3 linked regions of the Anolis sagrei genome follow. The main gene of each other region encodes a partner of the protein of the gene in region 3 in a complex. Links are inferred from orthologs where the notes say so. Each region holds a gene or a part of one and is shown on either strand. Other genes may lie near its edges. The genes, in order: CLXN, ODAD3 and ODAD4.

Evidence for each region.
Region 1: ODAD4 (region 3) and CLXN share a complex: the UniProt entries of both Homo sapiens proteins name them as parts of the outer dynein arm-docking complex. The link is inferred for Anolis sagrei from reciprocal best matches to the Homo sapiens genes ODAD4 and CLXN.
Region 2: ODAD4 (region 3) and ODAD3 share a complex: the UniProt entries of both Homo sapiens proteins name them as parts of the outer dynein arm-docking complex. The link is inferred for Anolis sagrei from reciprocal best matches to the Homo sapiens genes ODAD4 and ODAD3.

Annotation. Positions count from the first base shown.
Region 1 is NC_090026.1:102,547,278-102,555,487, forward strand, and holds the start of CLXN (calaxin), read left to right. Parts: upstream 1-4,783; 5' UTR 4,784-4,853; coding exon 4,854-4,911; intron 4,912-6,108; coding exon 6,109-6,264; intron 6,265-6,510; exon of another isoform or gene 6,511-6,760; intron 6,761-6,796; exon of another isoform or gene 6,797-8,210. Other genes in the region: protein FAM133B, read left to right, coding at 545-640, 986-1,030, 2,894-2,980. UniProt on the Homo sapiens protein: Component of the outer dynein arm-docking complex (ODA-DC) that mediates outer dynein arms (ODA) binding onto the doublet microtubule. Seems to regulate the assembly of both ODAs and their axonemal docking complex onto ciliary microtubules.
Region 2 is NC_090022.1:163,758,179-163,766,257, forward strand, and holds the start of ODAD3 (outer dynein arm-docking complex subunit 3), read left to right. Parts: upstream 1-4,478; 5' UTR 4,479-4,816; coding exon 4,817-4,901; intron 4,902-8,079. UniProt on the Homo sapiens protein: Component of the outer dynein arm-docking complex (ODA-DC) that mediates outer dynein arms (ODA) binding onto the doublet microtubule. Involved in mediating assembly of both ODAs and their axonemal docking complex onto ciliary microtubules.
Region 3 is NC_090026.1:44,925,141-44,933,448, forward strand, and holds the start of ODAD4 (outer dynein arm-docking complex subunit 4), read left to right. Parts: upstream 1-4,807; 5' UTR 4,808-4,841; coding exon 4,842-4,955; intron 4,956-6,552; coding exon 6,553-6,684; intron 6,685-8,308. UniProt on the Homo sapiens protein: Component of the outer dynein arm-docking complex (ODA-DC) that mediates outer dynein arms (ODA) binding onto the doublet microtubule. Plays an essential role for the assembly of ODA-DC and for the docking of ODA in ciliary axoneme.

The sequences.
Region 1 (8,210 bases), about 58 Mb from region 3:
TTCCTCGGTGACAGAGGAGGAAGCCGTGGCAGCAGGCTTTCTCCTAGGAGGGAAGCAAGGCCACAGAGTAAGCCCGTTGCTGCAGCTCCCTTCGCCACCAACAAGAAATGCGTGAGAGGGCGGAAGGAAAGGCCTCACACTTCCCCTTCTTTGTAAGGGAGGAGGCAAAGGAGATGCTGTTGACACAGGTATTGGCCACTCAGTGCCCAGAAAGAGTGGACTTTTAAAAAACATTTTACTCTATGTTTTACCAATAGCTTTTGCATTTCTCACCTTTGGCTTATACTTGAGTCAATAAGTTTCCCAGGTTTTTGTGGTAAAATTCGGTGCCTCGCTTTTACATTCGGGATGGCTCATACTCAAGTATATACAGTAATCCATAAAGAAATTAAAGTACTAAATACTGTTATCAGGGTGTTTTACACTGAGCATGGTAAAGGTCTCTGATTTGTCTGCATTTAAAACCGCCTTGAGTCACCTTAGGACTGATAAAGGTGGTATATAAATACAGTAAATAAATAAATGTGCCTTTTGTTGTATCTAGGATACCAAAAGTCTTAGCAGGAAAAGGAAAAACACAGATCGTGGGGATGGCTTATTATCGTCGGAGTCTTCATCAGAATCTGAGCATTCGGAAGAGGTTGGTATACATACAAAAAGCACTGAACTAGTAAAACAATACCTGGAAAGTTAAGATCTCAGTCATGTGCATTCCTGGAGATGAGAAATGATTTTTCCTTTTGTATCTGCCACTCCAGACTAAATTTAGAGGATCGTTATATGATTGTAGCTGCCCTGGCACTGAAGTGAAGCAGTGTTCAGTATCTACTTTTTTTAACTGAAAAATGGGAGATTGGTAAATAGAAGAAATTTTAGAGAGCATGACGTGGTTACTATGTAGTATGGTAGTGTGTTATTTTTCTGTTTCAGCATTTTTAATACCTATTCTGTCCATTAAATGTTTGTTTCATCATTTTTCCCTTAGGTACAAGCAAAAAAGAAGAAGAGCAGTGAAGAAAAAGAGAGAAATGTAAGCATTATTCTGTTACTCCAAGACATCAAGGCCGCTTCTATACTGCCATATAAAATCCAGGTTATTTCCTTTGAACAGGATTATATGGCAGTGTAGACTCATATAATTCAGTTCAAAGCAGATAATGTGGATTATTTGGTAGTGTAGAAGGAACCTAAGACAGTATTAATTGTGCTGCAACAAACATCCCATTCTCATAACAGTAATTGCTCTGAGATTTCCCAGTGTGAGAGCAGAATTATCTGACTAAATGAATTTCCATGAAAGAACAGAAATAAGTAATAGAATAATAGAACTGAAAGAGATCACAAGGGCCATCTAAATACAATTTTGCCCAATTTTTGTTGTGGACAGAACCCCGCATTTACATAAGAAAACTTCTGCTTCTGTCAGGGGGCTTTCTCTTCGTAATCTTTTCTGAGATCTACTGCAGGGTGTTCCCTCACTTTCCACAGCAAAATTTTAGAGGCACGTGGAGCACTATAGTAGTAGTAGTAGTAGTGCTACTGGGGATATTCCCCCTTTTCTTTCAGCTGATAGAAGCAGTTCTGATAGTGGGTTATCTTAGTTGGATTCTACCTTTTGGGTTTGGAAGTCCTGGCTGTTAGGGAAAACTACCCTAAAATATACAGCAGAGCATCCAAAAACAAACAGGATACAAAAGTAGAGCATCAACTCATTACCAAGCAGAGTGTGAAGTGCCGTTGTTTGTGGCTGTAAAGCAAGCATCCTCAAACTGCGGCCCTCCAGCTATTTGGGCCTTCAATTCCCAGAATTCCTGACAACTGAACAAGCTTGTTAGGACTTCTGGGAGTTGGAACCCTAAACGGCTGGAAGCCGGCAGTTTGAGGATGCCTGCTGTAAAGAATGTAGAGCTTAGGCAGGCAAAGATGCAGAGCCCGATCTTAAAAAAAAAAACAAAAAAAAACACACACACACACAAAAGGTTTATTTACAATAATAAGAAATAACTGCATTTCTTAATAGTTAAGAAATGGGTCTGAGCTACTCTAACACCCATCTCTTCTAAGGTTTCAAAGAGAGAGAAAAATCATCGAAGCAGTATATCTCTCTGACACACAAGCAGAGAGAGATCTCAAAGCACATATGGATATGAGATGATGACTCAGATTTTAGATGGTTTTTAATCTGTTTGTATTTTAATCTGATATGTATTTTAATTGCTTATGTGTTTAGATCATTTTATATTTTGATTAGATGTCTTTTATTGTTTATCTGTGCGGCATTAAATGTTTGCCAGATTTGTAAGCTGCTTTGAGTCCCCTGCGGGGTTGAGAAAGGCAGGGTAGAAATGAAGTAAATAAACATACTCAGATGTAAGAAACAGAAGTCAGATTTTAAAAGGCTTTCAGTAGAAAAGTATCCATTCTGCACAACTAATCAGAATGAGTGATGGAAGGAAAAACCCCAGAGTATTCTAAGCTAACTAAACTGTTCCTCCTTGAAAACTAGGGCAAAGTGGGGTTGAATTCCAACATCTGCATGGTAATAAAGATGAAAATAATGGTAAATCAGAATATTTGAAATATTGATACTATCCTTGCTTTGGAAGGGTGTTTCAATCAAGGTGCCCTGAATTTTATATAGAGATTTGTTTGAAGCTAATATTGTATTGGGGCCTTGCAGATACAAAAGGATTTCTTTCTTAGAGAACCAGAGCGTTATGTTCATGTAAACGAATCTCCTTCGTACCTGTAGCTCTGTTGCTAAGCATTCTTAAAGTTGAATGTGGCCTTGGTTGATTGTTTTTTAAAAGCACATAATACCTAGCTAGCCCAGAATTTGACTCATTTGGTTCCAGCATCCTGTAATTGTTTCTGATATTTCTCTTTTTCAAAGGATAAAACAAAAAAGCGAAAGAAACACAAGAAACATGGCAAAAAGAAGAAAAAGAAGACAGCTAGCTCAAGCTCTCACTCAGAATAACACCAGTCAAGAGTCTTACTTTCCTTCTCAAAAAGTGCAATGAGTCTAGAAAGAACTGCAACTGTGAACATTATGATGAACTCTACCAACTGCATGAGCTCTTCTGTGTGTGAACAAAATATTCGACACTTTCAGCTTGCCTGGTGCCATTGGGCTGGACATAGCCATTGATGTTGCCTGATGCTTAATATATTACATGTACTACCCTCCCCTCCAATAGCTTGTGTGGAATGTTTTGAAATAAGTCCTACAGAAGGTTTAAATGATTCAAAAGCAGAATCAGATTGGATTGATAAAATGTTTTTTCTCGTTACCGAGTTTTAATGCACACATGTAGCTCTTACAACCAGGTGTCATCCTGTGTTGCAAGGAAAAGAACGTATTCACATATAAAAAAACTGCATGTGGATAAGCTTCATGAGCTATAATAAATGAAGCAACACTTTGTGTAGGCCTCAGAGCTCCTGGTGGATCCATAAGCAAGACCAGGTTTGGGGCATTTCCTTTTTAACCCTCTGGCAATGAAGATTTTCATGATGAAGATTTTTTGCGAAATCCCTTCAAAAGTGATAGTATGGCATATCAAATCCTATGACATTTTTGTTACTATTGATGCCATATTTGAAACGAGAACATACAAGTAACACCCAGGTGTTACTTTTGTACATATGTGTTGTGTAGTTTTGCTCCCACTTTCTCAAGTGGGACATGGGGTATTCATGCCTTCAAGGATTTAGAGGGCATATCTTGATCTTTGCAAATAGCAGTGTTTGTTGAGACTGTCGATGTGCTTCCAGAGGTGTTTTCAGAAGCCTTTTTCTTCTGAGTGCTAGATTCCCTGCGAACCTTTCCTATGCAGGCCTCATTAAAAGCAATGGGAATTGCAGAAGAGCAGTTGCGTCAATATTATTCAGACAACGATAGATGGGTCGCCATGTTACTTTGTTTATGTAGCTGCCCCATTCATGTGTATAATTATGTCATTCTTGTCCTGTTCCTGTGCTTTATGTCTGAACAACAGGCAACACATCTGGCTACTCATTCCTATCTAGTTTGGTTCTCAGTTTATTCGATATACGTAGCATAAGCTGCTAGCAAAAACACCAGCCTAATGCAGCATCAGAATGTGATGCTTTTACTCCTATTGATTTAAAATAATACTGAATACTGTGCTAATAATACAGATAACCATTAGTTGAAGCGATGTTAAGTTTAACTGAACTTTTCCTGACATTTGTTTTCTTCAATTGTGATGTGTGTCATTTAAGGCATTTAGAATTGCATGATTTTGTACCATTTTAAACTTAATAGGGGGGGAAAAAACTGTCGTAATCAGTGGGTTTTTAAAAATTATGTTCCGCATAACCGCATTACTTACAGATATGAGTTCCTATTGCATACGTGCTTATGTTTTAAGCGCACCCTTGCTGAAGATATTTAGCATGTACAAAGCTGAGGTGACTTCAACCAGCTTCATATTGAAGCTGATTTTAACTTGACGCAAGTTCAGTGGCAGAACCTTGTTATGCAAACCTATGTCTCGGTATACAGAATTACTGCCAGACACTTAGTAAAAATCTGTTTTAAAAGGTTCCCGCCTCTCTTGATTCTATGTGTGTGTTTTGAGCAACTGTGGGCAAAGTTGGGCCTTCCTTCCAGGTGTTTTGGACTTCAACTCCCACCATTCCTAACAGCCTACCTCAGGCCCCTTCCCTTTCCCCCTCCGAGGTAGGCTGTTAGGAATGGTGGGAGTTGAAGTGCAAAACACCTGGAAGGACGGCCCAACTTTGCCCAGGCCTGCATTCTATTCTTGGCCGCAGGGAGGCCGGAGTCCTCCGTTGCCACGGTAACCTCCGGCCGCACAGAGCTCAAGATGAACAGGAAGAAGCTGCAGAAACTAGCCGAATCTCTCTGCAAGACCGCCAAGCACTGTGAGTGAGCGCGAGGCAGGCCTCTCGGGTTTCTTTCATGCAGACAGGACCCCTATCTTACCTATTTCCACATCCATACTTTGCAGCCGTTTCCTTCGTCCATTTCTCCCTCCCTTGCTTTCCCCCATTCACCGTCCTTCTTCCCTGCCTTTTCTCTTCCCTTCCTTTTGCTTTCTTTCCCCTAACCTTCCTTGCTGTCCTCCTTTCTTTCCTCTTTTCTTTCTTACCTTCTTCCCTTGATTTCTCTTACACCTTCCCCGCTCTTCTTTCCTTCCTTCTTTTCTCTTCCCTATTCTTTTCCCTTTCTCTTTCCTTCCCCCCCCATATGATTTCCCTTTTCTTGTTTTACTTCTTTTTCTTTAATCCCCCTCTTTTTCTTTCCTTCTTTCCATTCTTTTTTTTCTTTCTTCCTTCAACCCCCCTCTTCATTCCTTTCTTTCTTTCCCCCTTCCTTCCTCTCTCCGTCTCCTGATACATAAGTCACCTAGCAGTAGCCTATCTGCTTCACTCCCTTTCTTTCCCAGTCACATTTCTTTTGCCATGTCAGGAACAACTTGAGAAACTGCAAGTCACTTGAATTGGCTGTCTGCAAGGACGTTGCCCAGGGGACGCCTGGATGTTTGGATGTTTTACCATCCTTGTGGGCAGGGGCGGCTCAACCCATTACACAAAGTAAGCATTTGCAGTATAGTTGATTTTGCCCAGGGGCGCTCTTGAGGCGCTCTTGGGGGAAAATAGACCTTGACATATGCGAGTTGTATTTACTGGGATGTATAGTTCACCTACAATCAAAGAGCATTCTGAACTCCACCAATGATGGAATTGAACCAAATATGACACACAGAATTCCCACAACAAACAGAAAATATGTATCAGTGATTGGTTTGTGGGGGGGGGGGGGGCAAAATACTGTTTGCTTACCATTGAAAATTACCTAGAGCCGCCTCTGCTTGTGGGAGGCTTATCTCATATCCCCGCATGGAGAGCTGGAGCTGACAGAGGGAGCTCATCCGCACTCTCCCCGGATTCAAACCTCCGACCTGTCAGTCTTCAGTCCTGCCGGAACAAGGATTTGACTCACTGCACCACCGGGGGTTCCTTTCCCAGTCACATGACAGAAAGCCACTTCACCTAGCCACAGGCAATTGGCAGTGTTCCTTTTTTCTGTTTTAATTATCATAATCACTTGTTTCATAGTCAATAAATTTGAAGTGGAATGCCTCATAAAGCTTTTCAACCAGTTGGAAGTGGAGCCCAGCGACAGATACGCTGGTATTGGTTTGGATCGCAACTCGTTTCGAAATATTCTTCATGACACGTTTGGAATGACAGACGATATGATAATGGACAGAGGTGAGATTGAATACCTTCTTGTAAATCTTAAATACAGGCACTTCCCAAGTTACAAACAAGATAGGTTCCGTAGGTTTGCTCTTAATTTGAATTGGCATGTAAGTCTGAACAGGTACATTTTTAGGTGTTAACAACCCCAGCCAAATTTGTTGTTTATTCATTCAACATAAATGGGCTGGCAGAACGTTGGATAAGTGAAAATGTTGGATAATGAGGGATTAAAGGAAAAGTCTATTAAGCATAAAATTACATTATGATTTTATAAATTAAGAACCAAAACATCACGTTTTACAACAAATTGACAGAAAAAGCAGTTCAATACACAGTAACGTTATGTAATAATTACTGTATGTATGAATTTAGCACCAAAACAGACAAGAGGTCTTTCTTTCACCCTTGACATTATTCCAGGTGGGAGGCAGACTGTGTTGGATAGTACAGAACATTGGATGAGAGACTCTACTGTATTAGGTTCATATAGCATAGGGAACACCACCTCTGTGGTGTTCATTTTGCCGCCTGTGCCCCTCACCTCACTTTCTGTTCCTGTGATCATTGGAAACTTGGGTTTGTTGTGCAAACAAGGACACATTTTGGTGCCTCAAATGCTAGGCCTTTTCCCTGGGTGTATTTGACCCGATTCCAAAAATGGCACCATTTTCCCCTGTCAGCTCTGGTTTTTAAGATACAGATCATATGCCACATAGCAGTTGTCATCTGCTCACCCATAGAAAATTCTGATAATCGTATCTAAGAAACCAGATCTGATGAGGTCTATCCAATGTAATTTTCTGAATAAGTGCCCCAAATAACCCAAATAATTCAGTGTGTCAATATTCACACCAAATTGCATTAACATAAAATGGAGAAGAGTCATTTATATTAGACATATTTACACCATCTCTTATTGAGCTAGTCTCTGCCATATAGGGCAATGGGTTGTTGTAGGTTTTGGGGCTGTGTTGCCATGTTGTAGAAGCATTCTCTCCTGATGTTTCGCCTGCAACTATGGCAGGCATCCTCAGAAGTATTGAGGACTCACATAGATACAGGTGAAATGTCAGGAGAGAATGCTTCTAGAACATAATCACACAGCCTGAAAAACCTACAACAACCCAGTGATTCCAGCCATGAAAGCCTTTGACAATATATATAGGGCAATATACGCCATGACAAGCATGTTTTTATTGCTGTGATGAGGCAAGCAAGATGACTAACTGCTATGTAAAGCACAACACAACTGTTTAAAATGTCACCAGAAGCTATGGGTATAGAACTCCATAAACATGTTTTCAAAACTCCCACTTGGTGACAAAGAATTACTTCCAAATCTGGCAGAGATCCAGAGTTGCTACTTTAGGTTTTCAGGGGCTTGAAAAGGCTTACTGGGACTTACTTTCATTTTGAATATATGATCTACCTTGCATGCTATATTGGAAAATTGTTTTTGAAAGTCTCATAGTTTAAAAGGAATTGTGCCACAAAATTGGGAATAACGATCTTTTAAGTGCTGAGTTGTTCTCTTTCTTTCTCAAAATAATTTAAAAATAATTTTGCTGGTTGATGTATTCGATAGGGCAATGAATAAGGATGTTGTTCATTATTAATTGCAGGGGATGCTTTCAAGACTAGAGGGTGGTTGAACAGCATTGGAGTTGATAGGAAAAATAAATCGAAAGCTTTGAACTTGGGACTCCTGCCTAGCTTGAACACATATTCCAAAACTGAATGCTGCTTCTCGTTTCAGAGTGGAGAGGCAGAAAAATGCTTTAAATATGCTCAGAGGCATTCAAAATAAATATATCCAGTTTAAGAATGCTCCTGTTTGATTCAGTAGTGATTGCTCTGAAATGGAACAGTAACCTTTAAGTAGATGGAACACATTATTATTATTACACATCACAGCAACCCATTATTATTTATTTTACTTTTCTAATCCAGACCTA
Region 2 (8,079 bases), on a different chromosome or scaffold from region 3:
TAATTTAACATAGTTATTGTAGATGTACATAAAACACAGCTTTCCAAATTGTATTATGACACATTAGCATGTCAGTTGTAGGATGCTGCGTGAATGTAACACGAAATCTCTAAGGCTGGATCAACACTGTCACATAATCCAGATTATCAAAGCAGATAATGTGCCTCATTACCAACAGACCTCACCACCTCTGAGGATGCCTGCCATAGATGCAGGTGAAACGTCAGGAGAGAATGCTACTGTAACATGGCTATGCAGTCCAAAAACTCACAGCAACCCAGTGATTCTGACCATCAAAGCCTTCAACAACATATAGTGTGGTTTTGCTAATCACGCAGATTAATACATACGCAGTTGTTTAATTGAATACACATACATTTCTTAAGTAATTAAACAGAACTACAGATTAAGCAAAAAGTATAGAATCAAGACTATTGTGTGTTTTAAATCTATTTTATTGGCCCTGCCCATTGTGTTTGACTTCTGTGTTTCAAACGTCGTGATTTTATATTATTGATGTGTTATTTATAATTGGTTTTGTATTGTATTTTTATTTTTACAATTTACTGCTTGTTGTTGTTGTTCATTCGTTCAGTCGTCTCCGACTCTTCGTGACCTCATGGACCAGCCCACGCCAGAGCTCCCTGTCGGCCGTCACCACCCCCAGCTCCTTCAAGGTCAGTCCAGTCACTTCAAGGATGCCATCCATCCATCTTGCCCTTGGTCGGCCCCTCTTCCTTTTGCCTTCCACTTTCCCCAGCATCATTGTCTTCTCTAGGCTTTCTTGTCTCCTCATGATGTGGCCAAAGTACTTCAACTTTGTCTCTAGTATCTTTCCCTCCAGTGAGCAGTTGGGCTTTATTTCCTGGAGGATGGACTGGTTGGATCTTCTCGCAGTCCAGGGCACTCTCAGCACTTTCCTCCAGCACCACAGCTCAAAAGCATCGATCTTCCTTCGCTCAGCCTTCCCTAAGGTCCAGCTCTCACATCCGTAGGTGACTACAGGGAATACCATGGCTTTGACTAGGCGGATCTTTGTTGCCAGTCTGATGTCTCTACTCTTTACTATTTTATCGAGACTGGACATTGCTCTCCTCCCAAGAAGTAAGCGTCTTCTGATTTCCTGGCCACAGTCTGCATCTGCAGTAATCTTTGCACCTAGAAATACAAAGTCTGTCACGGCCTCCACGGTTTCTCCCTCTATTTTCCAGTTGTCAATCATTCTTGTTGCCATAATCTTGGTTTTTTTGACGTTTAGCTGCAACCCGGCTTTTGCGCTTTCTTCTTTCACCTTGATTAGAAGGCTCCTCAGCTCCTCCTCGCTTTCGGCCATCAGAGTGGTGTCATCTGCATATCTGAGGTTGTTAATGTTTCTTCCAGCAATTTTCACCCCAGCTTTGCATTCATCCAGCCCCGCACATCGCATGATGTGTTCTGCATACAAGTTAAAAAGGTTGGGTGAGAGTATGCAGCCTTGCCGTACGCCTTATATTGATGTATTGTATTGCTGGACTTGGCCTCATGTAAGCTGCCACGAGTCCTCTTGGGTAGATGGACTCGTGGGTAGATGGTGGCGTAGATGGTGGCGGGGTATAAATGGGTAGATGGTGGCGGGGTATAAATGAAGATTATTATTATTATTATTATTATTATTATTATTATTATTATCTGAATATGGACTCTTGATACCCCAGTCCAAAGCAGATAGTGTGGGATGTATTGCCTTGATATTCTGGGTTACATGGCTGTGTGGAATGGCCCTAAGTCTCTTCAATATGATCCAGTTCAAAGTAGATAATCTGGATTGTATATGGCAGTGGAGATGGGGCCTCAATGACTGTGTCGTGAGATGCTGCGTGTCATCAACGTGAAATGTTTGGAAAGCTTTGCAAATGTTTGGAAAGCTGTTTAAGGAGCTCCACTGGCTGCCGTTCATTTTCCAGTCCCAATTCAAGGTGCAGGTTCTTACCTACGAAGCCCTGAACGGTTTGGGACCTGCCTACCTGTGTGACTGCATTTCTGTGTACGAACCCACGCGATCTCTTCGATCATCTAGAGAGGCCCTACTCGCGCTCCCACCTCCTTCGCAGGCGCAATTGGTGGGGACGAGGGAGGGGGCCTTCTCGGTGGTGGCCCCCAGGCTCTGGAACTCACTTCCCAAGGACATCAGGCACGCCCCAACTCTGGCAGTATTTAGGAGGAGCCTGAAAATGTGGTTGTTCCAGTGTGCCCTCTCAGAATAAGGAAAACTCTCAGCAATATGCCCTCAAAATGCACTTTACCATTGATTTAGGACCGACTGCACTCCCTCAGTTCTCTTTGAAAACCCTATACCTGTTATATCCTACCTTGTTCATGCCTAGCGTTATTTTTTAAATTTTAAACTATTACATTTGGCCCGGCCATAGGTTTTTAAATGCTTGTGTGTTACTGTTTATTGTTTATGTGATTTATATTAATTGTATTGTATTGATTGTTTTTGTTATTGCCTTTGTTTGTTGATTTACTGTGGGCTTGGCTTCATGTAAGCCACACTGAGTTGCTTGGGGAGATTTATTTATTTACTTACTTTATTTATATACTGCTTTTCTCAGCCCTCAGGCGACTCAAAGCGGTGAACAACATCGATACAAAACATCACGAGACAAGTATAGGGCAATTAAAAACAATTGTAACATAAATCATTAAACATCAGTATAACAATCATTAGCGCCTCAACAGTAAAATCAGAATCCAGTCTCATCATCCATTATTCCGTATTTCTATTCCGGTGGCACAGTGGGTTAAAGCACTGAGCTGCTGAGCTTGTTGACCAAAAGGTCACAGGTTCGATTCCAGGGAGCGGTGTGAGCTTCCACTGTCAGCCCTAGCTTCTGCCAACCTAGCAGTTTGAAAACATGCAAATGTGAGTAGATCAATAGGTACTGCTCCGGCGGGAAGGTAACGGCGCTCCATGTGGTCATGCTGGCCACATGACCTTGGAGGTGTCTATGGACAACGCTGGCTCTTCGGTTTAGAAATGGAGATGAGCACCATACCCCAGAGTCAGACATGACTGGACTTAATGTCAGGGGACAACCTTTACCTTTACCTATGTATTACACTGTTTAATCAAATGCTTGTTCGAACAGCCAGGTCTTCACTTTCCTCCAAAACGCCAGCAGGGAGGGGACCGATCTGATATCTGCAGGCAGAGTGTTCCACAGCCGAGGGGCCACCACTGAGAAGGCCCTGTCTCTCATCCCCTCCAAGCGTGCCTGTGATGCAGGCGGGACCGAGAGCAGGGCCTCCCCAGATGAAATTAGTGTCCTAGTCGGTTCATAGGAGGAGATGCGTTCGGAGGGGTAAGTTGGGCCAGAACCGTTTAGGGCTTTATAGGCTAACGCCAGCACTTTGAATTGTGCCCGGTAGCGAACAGGCAGCCAGTGGAGCTGGCGCAACAGAGGAGTAGTATGCTCCCTGAGTGCCGCTCCTGTTAGCAACCTGGTTGCCGAACGCTGGACCATTTGAAGCTTCCGAGCAGTCTTCAAAAGCAACCCCACATAGAGAGCGTTGCAGTAGTCTATATGGGATGTAACCAGAGCTTGGACTACCGCGGCCAAGTCAGACTTCCCAAGGTACGAGATGGTAGCGGGGTAGAAATAAAGTTTTATTAATTATTATTATTATTTTGTCGTGTCAGGAGTGTCCTGTTGTGAGAGAATTGGCCGTCTGCAAGGACGTTGCCCAGGGGACGCCCGGATGATTTTTAATGTTTTATCATCCTTGTGGGAGGCTTCTCTCATGTCCCCGCATGAGGAGCTGGAGCTGGTAGAGGGAGCTCATCCGCCTCTCCCCGGATTCGAACCTACGACCTGTCGGTCTTCAGTCCTGTCGGCACAGGGCTTTAACCCACTGCGCCACCGGGGGCTCCATATTATTATTATTAATTATTATCAATTATTGTTAATTATTGTTATTATTGCAGTTAGTATATTGATGTAATTTTCTGTAGTTGTGGCATTTGTTAAGCTTTTTTTGTGAGCCCCTTTTCTTTTTGTATAACCAAAATGTATCTTTGCATGTAGTTAAAACATATATGTTGATACATCAAACTGGAAATGAATGGCCCCCGTGCCGTGCCTCCCCCTCCGGCTCTGGTGGCGGCTTCTGGCCCACCTTCAGCCCGGAAAGGCAGCCCCACTTCCCTCTTCTCGGCTCCCTCTGCCCCCTTTCCACCCCCTCACGGAGCCTTACCCTCAACCGGCCACGGAAACCCGCGTGGAAAACGGTCCGAAGTTCACCCGTCCGACGCCGGAAGCAGACGGCAGGACATCCGCCTCTGAGAGAAAGGAAAAGAGGCGGAGATTGCTCCTTCCTTCCCGCTTGTGCTTCTCCCGGCGCCATTTTGAGCGAGGCAACAACATGCCACTTCCTCGGGCGGCCATCTTGAGAGTGGCGGAAAATGCTTCTGCTGATTGGCCGCGGCCAATAGGTGCTTTGCATCGCAGCCGGTCACCATGGAGACGGGCCCAGCTTAAGGATGCTGAGGCGCTGCTGAGCCAGATGCAACCTGGCAGAGAAGGAAAGGAGAAAAAGAGAAGCCTGGCAGAAGCACCAAGGAAGCTATGCAGCAGAGGAACAGACTGTTGTAGAACCTTTTATTTTATTTATTCCCCCCCTATCGATCACAAGCACCATTTCCCTTGTTGGCAGCACAATTCCTGCAGGGTTGCCAATGGTTGCTGCAGACTAGTGACTTGCCATCAAGTCAATACAGTGTCGCCCCTCCTCCACCTGCTTCACCTTCTCCAGCTTTTGACTACCTGCCACTACCATGCCTGTGACAGAGGCCCAGCAAGGAATAAAGCCCCCCGTCCATGAGCAGATTGCAGATCTCCAGAAGAAGATACAGCTGCTAGGTAAGGCCTGCTCCAAAGGTGGAGGCCCCTTCCACACAGCTGTATAAAATCCACATTATACTGGATTGTATGGCAGTGTGGACTCAGGGCCCTTTCACACAGCCGTACCTTGGGAAGTCTACCTTGGCCACGGTAGTCCACGCTCTGGTTACATCCTGTTTAGACTACTGCAACGCTCTCTACGTGGGGTTGCCTTTGAAGACAGCTCGGAAGCTCCAACTAATCCAACGCTCGGCAGCCATGATTTTAACAGGAGCGGAGCGCAGGGAGCATACAACCCCCCTGTTGCGCCAACTCCACTGGCTACCGATCTGCTACCGGGCTGAATTCAAAGTGCTGGCGTTGGCCTTTAAAGCCCTAAACGGTTCCGGCCCAAGCTACCTATCCGACCACATCTCTGCCTATGAACCCACCAGGACTTTGAGATCTTCCGGGGAGACCCTGTTCTCGATCCCGCCTGCTTCTCAAGCTCGGCTGGCAGGGACGAGAGATAGGGCCTTCTCGGTGGTGGCTCTTCGGCTGTGGAACGCCCTTCCTACGGACATTAGACTAGCACCATCTCTAATGGCATTCCGCAAAAAGGTGAAGACCTGGCTGTTTGAGCAGGCGTTCCAATAATTAGTGCAATGATTGGTTAATGAACACTGGAATGGAACAATGGATGACAAATCTGGAACATGTTTTTGATGACGAGACGACAGTGAATGGGTATTGTAGTAACTGTTTATTAATTGTGTAATGTGTTAGGTTGTTAACTGTTTCTATACTGTAGCACTGAATTTTTGCTGTTCGTATTTGTTCTGAACCGCTGTGAGTCGCCTTCGGGCTGAGAACAGCGGTATATAAGTAAGGTAAATAAATAAATATAACCCAGAATATCACATTTCTTATCTTGGCACAGTTCATAGAGCAGTTGTTCTTTGGCAGCTGACATGCTTTCAATGTTGATTGAGATTATTGTCATGGTTGGTCCTGAAAAGGTCCGTTGGTTGTTTTGCTTGCTTGCTTGCATGCTGCAAGTTGCTTCTGAGGTGAGAGAATCAGCCGTCTACGAAGACGTTGCCCAGGGAACGCCCGGATGTCTTGCAATCCTGCGAGGAGGCTTCTCTCAGGGAACACCTCAGCAAGCGAGAGTCCAAAAGTGGCAGGCTCAAACCCAGCACCTCAATCCGTGGGTGATACCAGATGAGAGACTCCCTCCTGGGCACACAGAAGACTGGGCGACTTGGAAGGCGCTGAACAGACTGCGCTCTGGCACCACGAGATGCAGAGCCAATCTTAAGAAATGGGGCTTCAAAGTGGAATCCACGACATGCGAGTGCGGAGAAGAGCAAACCATTGACCACATGCTGCAATGCAACCTGAGCCCTGCTACATGCACAATGGAGGAGCTTCTTGTGGCAACACCGGAGGCACTCCAAGTGGCCAGATACTGGTCAAAGGACATTTAATCAACTACCAAGTTTGCAAAATTTGTGGTTTTTTATCTGCTTGTTTGTTTTGTTCTGTTAGAAATGTAATACAATGGTATGGTTGCTGATGACACAATAAATAAAGCACTTCAACCAATGGCTGATACCAAATGAGAGACTCCCTCCTTGGCGCACAGAAGACTGGGCGACTTGGAAGGCGCTGAACAGACTGCGCTCTGGCACCACGAGATGCAGAGCCAATCTTAAGAAATGGGGCTACAAAGTGGAATCCACGACATGAGAGTGTGGAGAAGAGCAAACCATTGACCACATGCTGCAATGCAACCTGAGCCCTGCTACATGCACAATGGAGGAGCTTCTTGTGGCAACACCAGAGGCACTCCAAGTGGCCAGATACTGGTCAAAGGACATTTAATCAACTACCAAGTTGGCAAAATTTGTGGGGTTTTTTCTGCTTGTTTGTTTTGTTCTGTTAGAAATGTAATACAATGGTATTGTTGCTGATGGCACAATAAATAAATAAATAACCCAGATATCAAGGCAGATAATCCTACAATATTTTTTTATTATTTATTTACGACATTTATATGCCGCCCTTCTCACCGCAAAGGGGACTCAGAGCGGCTTACAAGGTATATATACATACAATACACTATACTATTAGCATAGTACAATACTTAGGCAATCCCTCGTTGGACAAGTAGGATAGTCTTCCAGGATCAGTATTCTTGAGGATCCGTAGATGACTGTGGAGCCCTATTCTTGATCTGCATTTTCTCCCACAGTTGAGCGCATTGGTTTCCAGGTGGAAGGCGGTCTAGGGAAGTAATGCTACCCCTCTATTCCGCTTTGCTTTGACCACACCTGGAATATTGTGTCCAATTCTGGGCACCACAATTGAAGAGAGATATTGACAAGCTGGAATGTGACCAGGGGAGGGCGACTAAAATGATCAAGGGTCTGGAGAACAAGCCCTATGAAGAGCGGCTTAAGGAGCTGAAGAGAAGGCTGAGAGGAGATATGATAGCCATGTATAAATATGTGAGAGGAAGCCACAGGGAGGAGGGAGCAAGCTTGTTTTCTGCTTCCTTGGAGACTAGGACGCAATGGAACAATGGCTTCAAACTACAAGAAAGGAGATTCCATCTGAACATGAGGAAGAACTTCCTGACTGTGAGAGCCGTTCAGCAGTGGAACTCTCTGCCCCGAAGTGTGGTGGAGGTTCCTTCTTTGGAAGCTTTTAAACAGAGGCTGGATGGCCATCTGTCAGGGGTGATTTGAATGCAGTATTCCTGCTTCTTGGCAGGGGGTTGGACTGGATGGCCCATGAGGTCTCTTCCAACTCTTTGATTCTATGATTCAATGAAACCTTTTTTCAGCAAACGTTACCAAGAAAATTACACCAAACTTGGAAACAACCGAATGGCAAAAAACAACAACAGCAAGCTGTCTTCTTGATATGGGTTTTAGCAGGCTTCAGCCCCCCCCCCCCCCAAATTCTCATGGTGGTTCGCGAAAAGGCCTTATTGGTGCATTATTTAAACTGTTATGTTTATTCATATCATATTCTGATCACCATACTTAATGTATCCCATATGCATGGGGGTATTGGGGTAATGATACAAAAGGTTTGCTAGGCTAGACCCTCTTTCACTCAGACTCAGTCCCCCCCGAAACTCAGCCCCCCCCCCAACAAACATAAAAAAAATCACCCCCCCCCCCCTCCGAAACGAAATCCTGGCTAC
Region 3 (8,308 bases):
GTTATTATGATTATGTTTTATTAGACAATAAATAACAACTTTTAAAATGATAAGAAATAAGAATATTATTTAACTACAAATCAGCATAAGGGGGTTGTTACTTTGGAATATATTTAATTTTATTTAGTTTACTAGCAAAAGTTGAAAACCTGCATATTATAGTATATGTATATTATATTAATATTATATATTAATATTATATTAATATTATAGTATATTATAGTATACATCCCCCCCCCTTTGTGGGAAAGCTTGATACCACAACCCCCGTTTTAATGAGCCCTCCTCCGCAAATAACCTGCTTCCCCTTATCTCACCCGAGTTTTTAATCAGTTTTTAATTAGTTTTTCTTTTAATCATTACATGTAGCCCGCCAGTGGCGCAGTGGGTTAAAGCCCTGTGCTGGCAGGACTGAAGACCGACAGGTTGCAGGTTCGAATCTGGGGAGAGGCGGATGAGCTCCCTCTATCAGCTCCAGCTCCTCATGCGGGGACATGAGAGAAGCCCCCCACAAGGATGATAAAAACATCAAATCATCCGGGCGTCCCCTGAGCAATGTCCTTGCAGGCGGCCAATTCTCTCACACCAGAAGCGACTTGCAGTTTCTCAAGATGCTCCTGACACGGAAAAAAAAAGTAGCCCGCCCACTGTCATTGTGATTGTGTTTATGGTAATTTTATATCATTATGCATTCATATGTTTTATGTAATTATTATGTTGTTGTTTATTGTTTGTGTTTTTGGTTTTATTCTGCTGTAATTTGTTGTTTGGGCATGGCCTCATGTAACCCACCCCAAGGCCCCAGTGGGGAGATGGTGGCAGGGTATAAATAAAGATTATTATTATTATTATTATTATTATTATTATTATTTCCCATGTCAATGGAGCAATAAATCTGCTCCTATTTTAGGGTGGCTTTCAACCTATTTTGGTCCTCAGGCAATCTTCTTCCTGAATTGGGTGTCTTTTCAGGCCTCCCTCAAAATTTGTTGCCAAATGCTGACATATGTTAATGCTCCAGAATAAGCTTTAATTGTAGTAAGTTGTGCTGAAGGTGGCATGATTGCCCAAAGACTTACAGAGGCCCAGTTCACTGCAGGAGCTGTCTAAGGTGCTGAACCTATTTTGTCCTAGTTATGGAAAGCCTAAAGTGAACCTATCATGGGTTTTCGTGGTAAGATTTGTTCAGAAGGTGTCTGCTATTGCCTTCCTCCAAGGCTGACGTGCCCAGGATCACCTATTAGGACTCTATAGCCTAGAGGACATTTGAACCCTCATCTCCAGAGTCATAGCCCAGTGCTCAAACCATTAACCACAGTGGATGTAGTACATTGGACAGAATTGCAGGTTATGAATGGATTCAGTGCCCACTAATTTGGAAGCTGTCAGTCACTACTCATTTACCCAGCTCTCACACTAAACTTTAGATTTAGGGCCACCCTAAGGACTTCATCACATGCAATAAAACCAGCTTTTCAACACAGTTATGAAACAGCTACTTATGGAGCCCATCACATGACTCAAGCTCATACTGTGGGTTCCAGGTATTTTGCCATTTCTAAAGTTTGTTTTTCCCCCTACACTTCCTAAGCCAATTGGCATACTACTCATCCTGTGCAATATGCAACAAAACCAAGATTACAACAACATCTGTTATAGAACTCCAATATATTGATTACAACGTCATCTGCGTGCATTCAGAAGAAGACCTACAAGCCATTCTAAATACCTTAGCAGAAGCATGCGAGAAGCTTGGCCCGTCATTGAACATTGAGAAAACCAAAGTGCTCCTCCAGCAGTCACCAGCCAACCCTTTTCCAATGCCAGATATACAGCTTAATGGTGTAACATTAGAAAATGTTGACTATTTCCTCTACCTTGGTAGCCACCTCTCCACAAAAGTCAACATTGAAACCGAAATACAACACTGCCTGAGCTCTGCAAGTGCAGCATTTTTCCAAATGAAGCAGAGAGTGTTTAAGGACCAGGACATCCGTAGGGATACCAAGGTGCTTGTTTATAAAGCTATTGTCTTCCCAAACATGCTGTACACCTGTGAAACATGGACTATCTACAGACATCACATGCAACTCTTGAAACGATTCCATTAGTGTTACCTTTGAAAAATCCTGCAAATCTCTTGGGAAGACAGGTGGACCACCAGCACTTAAGCGATGGTTCTCTGCCATCAACTCTGCTGGACCGGCCACATTGTCCAGATGCCCGACCACCGTCTTCCAAAGCAGTTGCTCTGCTCTGAACTCAAGAATGGAAAATGGAATGTTGGTGGGAAGGAAAAGAGATTTAAAGATGGGCTCAAAGCCAACCTTAATAACTCTGACATAGACATTGAGAACTGGGAAACCCTGGCCCTTGAGCACTCCAGCTGGAGGTCAGCTGTGACCAGCAGTGCTATAGAATTTGAAGAGGCACGAATGGAGAGAAAGAGAGAAACGTGTCAAGAGGAAGGCACATCAAGCCAACCCTGACTGGGACTGCCTTCCACCTGGAAACCAAGGCCCTCACTGCGGGAGAACATGCAGATCAAGAATAGGGCTCCACAGTCAAATACGGACCCACTGCCAGTTCACTGAACTGGGAAGACAATCTTACTCGGACAACAAGAGATTGCCTAAGTAAGTAAGTAAAGTATGCAACATGCAATAATGCAGTTAGATCCTTTTTTCTTCTTGAGTTAAAGATCCTTTAGAAGTTACCTCTTCAATTAAAATGTGTATTATTTAACTTATTCCCAAATGTTGTACACAAGACCTGCCTTTAGGGAAGGAAATCTTACTGCTCATTTTGATGACAGGCAGCTGCTCCAACGCAAAAAAAGAAAGGAGTGAATGGAGTTAACTGGCGCCACTGTTGCCTCTACATGCATTTGATCTATCACACCATGTCTGGGTCTCTCCTTCTCTTCTATGAGCCATTAGATCCACCTGCGCTATGAACCGGAAAAAAGAAAGACAGAAGCAAAACAAACTTTCCTTCACATCTTCTGAACCTGCTGCTACCTCATCAAGCTGGGACTGGATTTCTCCTCACCTCACAGAGCCCATTACTGTAACTGCCTTGTGGGCAGCGGAGGAAGACGGGAACTGGTATAACTGCTGCTTCTGCAAATTGGCTCCTATTTTAATGACACATTGTTGTTCCTACAGGCGCTGTGTAAATTCACTCTGGGCCTTGCAGGCTGAACAGTAGGATAAAAAATTATAATATATACACAAATCAACTTGCCCTGGGAACACATATGGCAACACCGATCTCTAATACAAATATATATCTACAAGCCACTCTAAACACCTTCACAGAAGCATACGAGAAGCTCAACCTGTCATTGAACATCGAGAAAACCAAATTGCTGTTCCAGCAGTCACCTGCCAATCCCTCTCCAATGCCAGAGATATAGCTTAGTGGTATAACATTAGAAAATGTTGACCATTTCCGCTACCTTGGCAACCACCTCTCCACCAAAGTCAACATCGACACCGAAATACAACACCGCTTGAGCTCTGCGAGTGCAGCATTTTTCTGAATGAAGCAGAGTGTTTGAGGACCAGGACATCTGTAGGGATAACAAGGTGCTTGTTTATAAAGCTATTGTCCTCCCAACTCTGCTATATGCCTGCGAAACGTGGACTGTCTACAGACGTCACATGCAACTGCGTTGCAGTCTGGTGATCTGAAAAATAAGGTAATGAGAAAGTGATGGTTTCTAATATATGTAAAATTTTATGCTTGTGGGTAAACAGTATTTCTTGCTGTTTCTTTGTCAGTGTTGATGTGGAGATTGTCTGGTTTGCCTACTCGGGAACATGGAACATATAATTGTCCATTTTGGGGTGTCCCTTTCAAATCTATGATATCTATGTGTGAATCATATCTATCTATCTATCTATCTATCTCTATGGCTGAATACCTCTTTGTCAGGAGGGCTTTGATTACGTTTTCTTGCCCTGGTGAAGGGAGTTAGACTGGATGGTCTTTTCTGTTTTCTGTTGGTCATTTATTTATTTATTTACCTTACTTATATACCGCTGTTCTCAGTCCGAAGGCGACTCACAGCGGTTCACAACAAATACGAACAGCAAAAATTCAGTGCTACAGTATAGAAACAGTTAACAACCTAACACATTACACAATTAATAAACAGTTAATTGTCATGGGGGTTCTGTGTGGGACGTTTGGCCCAATTCTGTCGTTGGTGGGGTTCGGAATGCTCTTTGATTGTAGGTGAACTATAAATCCCAGTAACTACAACTTCCAAATGTCAAGGCCTATTTCCTCCAAACACCATCTGTGTTCTTATTTAGGTATATTGAGTATCCCTGCTAAGTTTGGTCCAGACCCATCATTGTTTGAGCCCACAATGCTCTCTGGATGTAGGTGAACTACAACTTCTAAACTCAAGGTCAGTGCCCATCAACCCCTTCTGGTGTTTTTTGTTGGTCATGGGAGAACTGTGTGCTAAGTTTGGCCCAATTCCATCATTGGTGGAGTTCAGAATGCTCTTTGATTGCAGGTGAACTATATATCCCAGCAACTACAACTCTCTAAAGTTTGATTGATTTGGTTGATATTGGTTGTCTCATTGATTTCTATTAGTAATGAGGACAGCCAAAGAGAAAGCAAGGATCACATTTTGGCGGGAGTGCAACAATGGGAAGGGATGGAACTATAAGACAGCCAACGCAAAGGAGCCGCCTCCTGGCGTTGCTCAACTTTTTTGACTCCTCCGAGGACCCGTTGGGTTTCCGGAAGTGCTGGCGTTGCTAAGCAGCGCGTTGCCAAGCAACGTTGCAGCGTCCTCCTCGGCCTTGCCAGCTCTAAGGATGGTGGACTCGGAGGGCGACGCTTTGCGGGGGACCTTCCCCAGCTTCATGGCGGAAGGGACGATGCTCAGCCAGCGAGGAGAGCTTACCAAAGCCCTCGCCTGCTACACCTACGTGAGAATATTCGGGAAGGGACGGGAGAACAAGGGGGCATCTACACTGTAGAATTAATGCAGTTTGACAGCACTTTAAGTGCCAAGTCTTAATGCTATGTGGGTGTACTTTTGGAAGGCCTTTAGCCTTCTCTGCCAAATAGTGTGTGGGCCTCATCAAACTACAAATCCCAGGATTCTATTGCATTGCGCCATGGCAATGAGAGTTGAAATTTAGTTTAAAGTAGTGCCACTGTAAAACATTAAGAATAATAATAAAACTATAATAATGAAACTTTATTTATACCCGCCACCATCTCCCCAAGGGACTCGGAGCGGCTTACATGAAGCCAAGCCCAATAACACAACAATAAAACAGAAAAGTGATAAACAAAACAATACAATGCAATACAAATTAATATAAATCACATATAACAACAACACACAAGGATTAAAAACCTATGGCCGGGCCAAATGTAGTAATTTAAAATTTAAAAATAACCCTAGGCATGAACAAGGTGGAATATATCTGGAAGGAGGGTTTTAAGAAGTGAGCGCGCAGTCCAACGCAATCCAGTAGTTAAAGTGCATTGGTAAGGGCATTTTGCTGGGAATTATTTCTTTATTCCGGGAAGGCACACTGGAACAGCCACGTTTTCAGTCTCCTCCTAAAGACTGCCAGAGTTGGGGCATGCCTGATGTCCCTGGGGAGTGAGTTCCAGAGTCAAGGAGCCACCACAGAGAAGGCCCTGTCCCTCGTCCCCACCAATCACACTTGCGATGGAGGCAGGAGTGTGAGCAGGCCCTCTCCAGATGATTGAAGAGATCGCATGGGTTCGTACACAGTGATGCGGTCACGCAGGTAGGCGGGTCCTAAACTATTTAGGGCTTTGTAGGTAAGCACCTGCACCTTGAATTGGGACCGGAAAATGAATAGCAGCCAATGGAGCTCCTTAAACAGGAGGATTGACCGCTCCCTGTAAGGAGCACCAGTTAACAACCTGGCTGCCGCCCATTGTACCAATTGAAATTTCCAGGCCGTTTTCAAGGGCAGCCCCACGTAGAGTGCATTACAGTAATCCATTCTGGAGGCGACTAAGGCATGAACCACCCTGGCCAGATCCACCTTCACGAGGTACGGTCGCAGCTGGCGCATGTCTTAATTGTGCGAAGGCCCTCCCAGCCACCGCCGACGCCTGAGCTTCAAGCGTAAGTGATGAGTCCAGGAGAACACCCAAGCTGCGGGCCTGTGACTTCAGGGGGAGTGCAACCCCATCCAACACAGGTTGCCACCCTATACCCAGATCTGGAGGACCTCTGTCTTGTCAGGATTGATCTTCAGGATTGATCCTCATCCAGACAGCCACTGCGGCCAGGCACTCATCCAGCACCCGAGGGGCTTCCTTGGAGTTAGGTGAAAAAGAGTAGTAGAGTTGGGCGTCATCTGCGTAGAGGTGGCACCCAACTCCAACACAATATTGGAGGGAGTACACCTTTTGAAGTTGTGAGAACCATAAGATATCTCTGTTGTCATCTGTGAAAGGCAGAAGAAAAGGGAATGGTCAGCTAGCTACTGTGATAATACCATTGACGGTGAATACCATATATTTGTTTGTTAGGCCCTGCAGCTCCAGCCAGCAGACAGGAACTGCCTTGTGGCCCGCTCAAAGTGCTACCTAAGACTAGGAGATACGGAAAATGCCTTGAGGGATGCAGAAGACTCGCTGGCAGCTGACAAGGAATTTACCAAGGTGGGCAACTAGTAGATCAGGAGGCTTACTTTAATCTTAAGGGCTCTCTTACTCAGTTCATTAAGGAATTTTTGGATGAATTATGTGAAAGATGTTATAGATATTTTTCTCCTTATTTATTTATTTATTTATTTACCTATGACATTTATATGTCGCCTTTCTCATCCCGAAGGGGACTCAGAGCAGCTTACAAGTAATATGTAAATACAATATATTATATAACATAGCATAATATTAGTATTATACAGGGTGAGGCAGCATAACTTCCTTTTTTCAAAACTTAATAAAACCCATTGTATGACTCAGAATTTTTTTATTTTTTTTAATAATGTAGGCACATACCTAAAGTTTTGTTTTACGTAGTTTTGAAGATCAAATTAAGTAGGTGACATCCCCCACTCTCCATTATCCATACATTGAGTAAACTGATTTCTAGCATTTGTCATGACTCTTGCCAGCATAGCAGGCGTTATGTTGGCAATTTCTTCCTGGATGTTGGTCGTCAAATTTTGTAGGGTCCTTGGACGGTTCACATAAACCCGGGATTTTAAAAAAACCCATAGCAAAGAATCATAAAGGGCCAAATCTGGAGAGTGGGACGGCCTCTCCAAATCTACTCGAAAAGTAGGGCTCAATGGCAAAAGCACGCTCCTCACTGTTCCATGATGTTCCATGACGCATGATGGTGACTGAACTGTGTCAGCACAAAACTTCCGCCTCTCGAACAAGACCATTAGTGCTCTGCTACGTCTTCAACCGACTGAATGGCGCACATTTTGAAAAATGAAGTTATGCTGCCTCAGCCTGTATATTACTATATTGGTCTACACCATTATACTGTAATATTATTAGTAATATTACATGTAATATAAAGTTGCAGTTACTGGGATTTATAGTTCATCTATTATTAGTAATATTGTAGTTCACCTACAATATTACTAATAAAATTACATGTAATATTACTAGTAATATTACATGCAATATAAAGTTGTAGTTACTGGGATTTATAGTTCATCTATTATTAGTAATATTGTAGTTCACCTACAATATTACTAATAAAATTACATGTAATATTACTAGTAATATTACATGCAATATAAAGTTGTAGTTACTGGGATTACATTATAATATTATCAATATTATATGTATATACAATATATTATATTACATTATAAGCACAGCACAGGAGACAAGATGGAACTGTTTTCCTAGCCCTCTCTTCACTCTGGACCCAGAGCAGCAGTTGGACTCCCAACTTTATCATCCCACAAAGGACAAAGTGTAGCTACCAACTGGTTTAGAAAAAAATATTTTGTATGCAGCATTTATTTGGGATTCAGTAGCGCAGTTGAGGGAACTCCTGGTGGTGCAGCAGGTTAAAACGCTGAGCTGCTGAACTTGGTGACCGAAAGTTTGGTGGTTCAAATCCAGGGAGCAGGGTGAGCCTGCTGTTAGCCCAAGCTTCTGCTAACATAGCAGTTCGAAAATATGCAAATGTGAGTAGATCAATAGGTACTGCTCTGGCAGGAAGGTAGTGGCGCTCTATGCAGTCATGCCAGCCACATGACTTTGGAGGCGTCTATGGACAACGCTGGCTCTTTGGCTTAGAAATTGAAATAGGCAC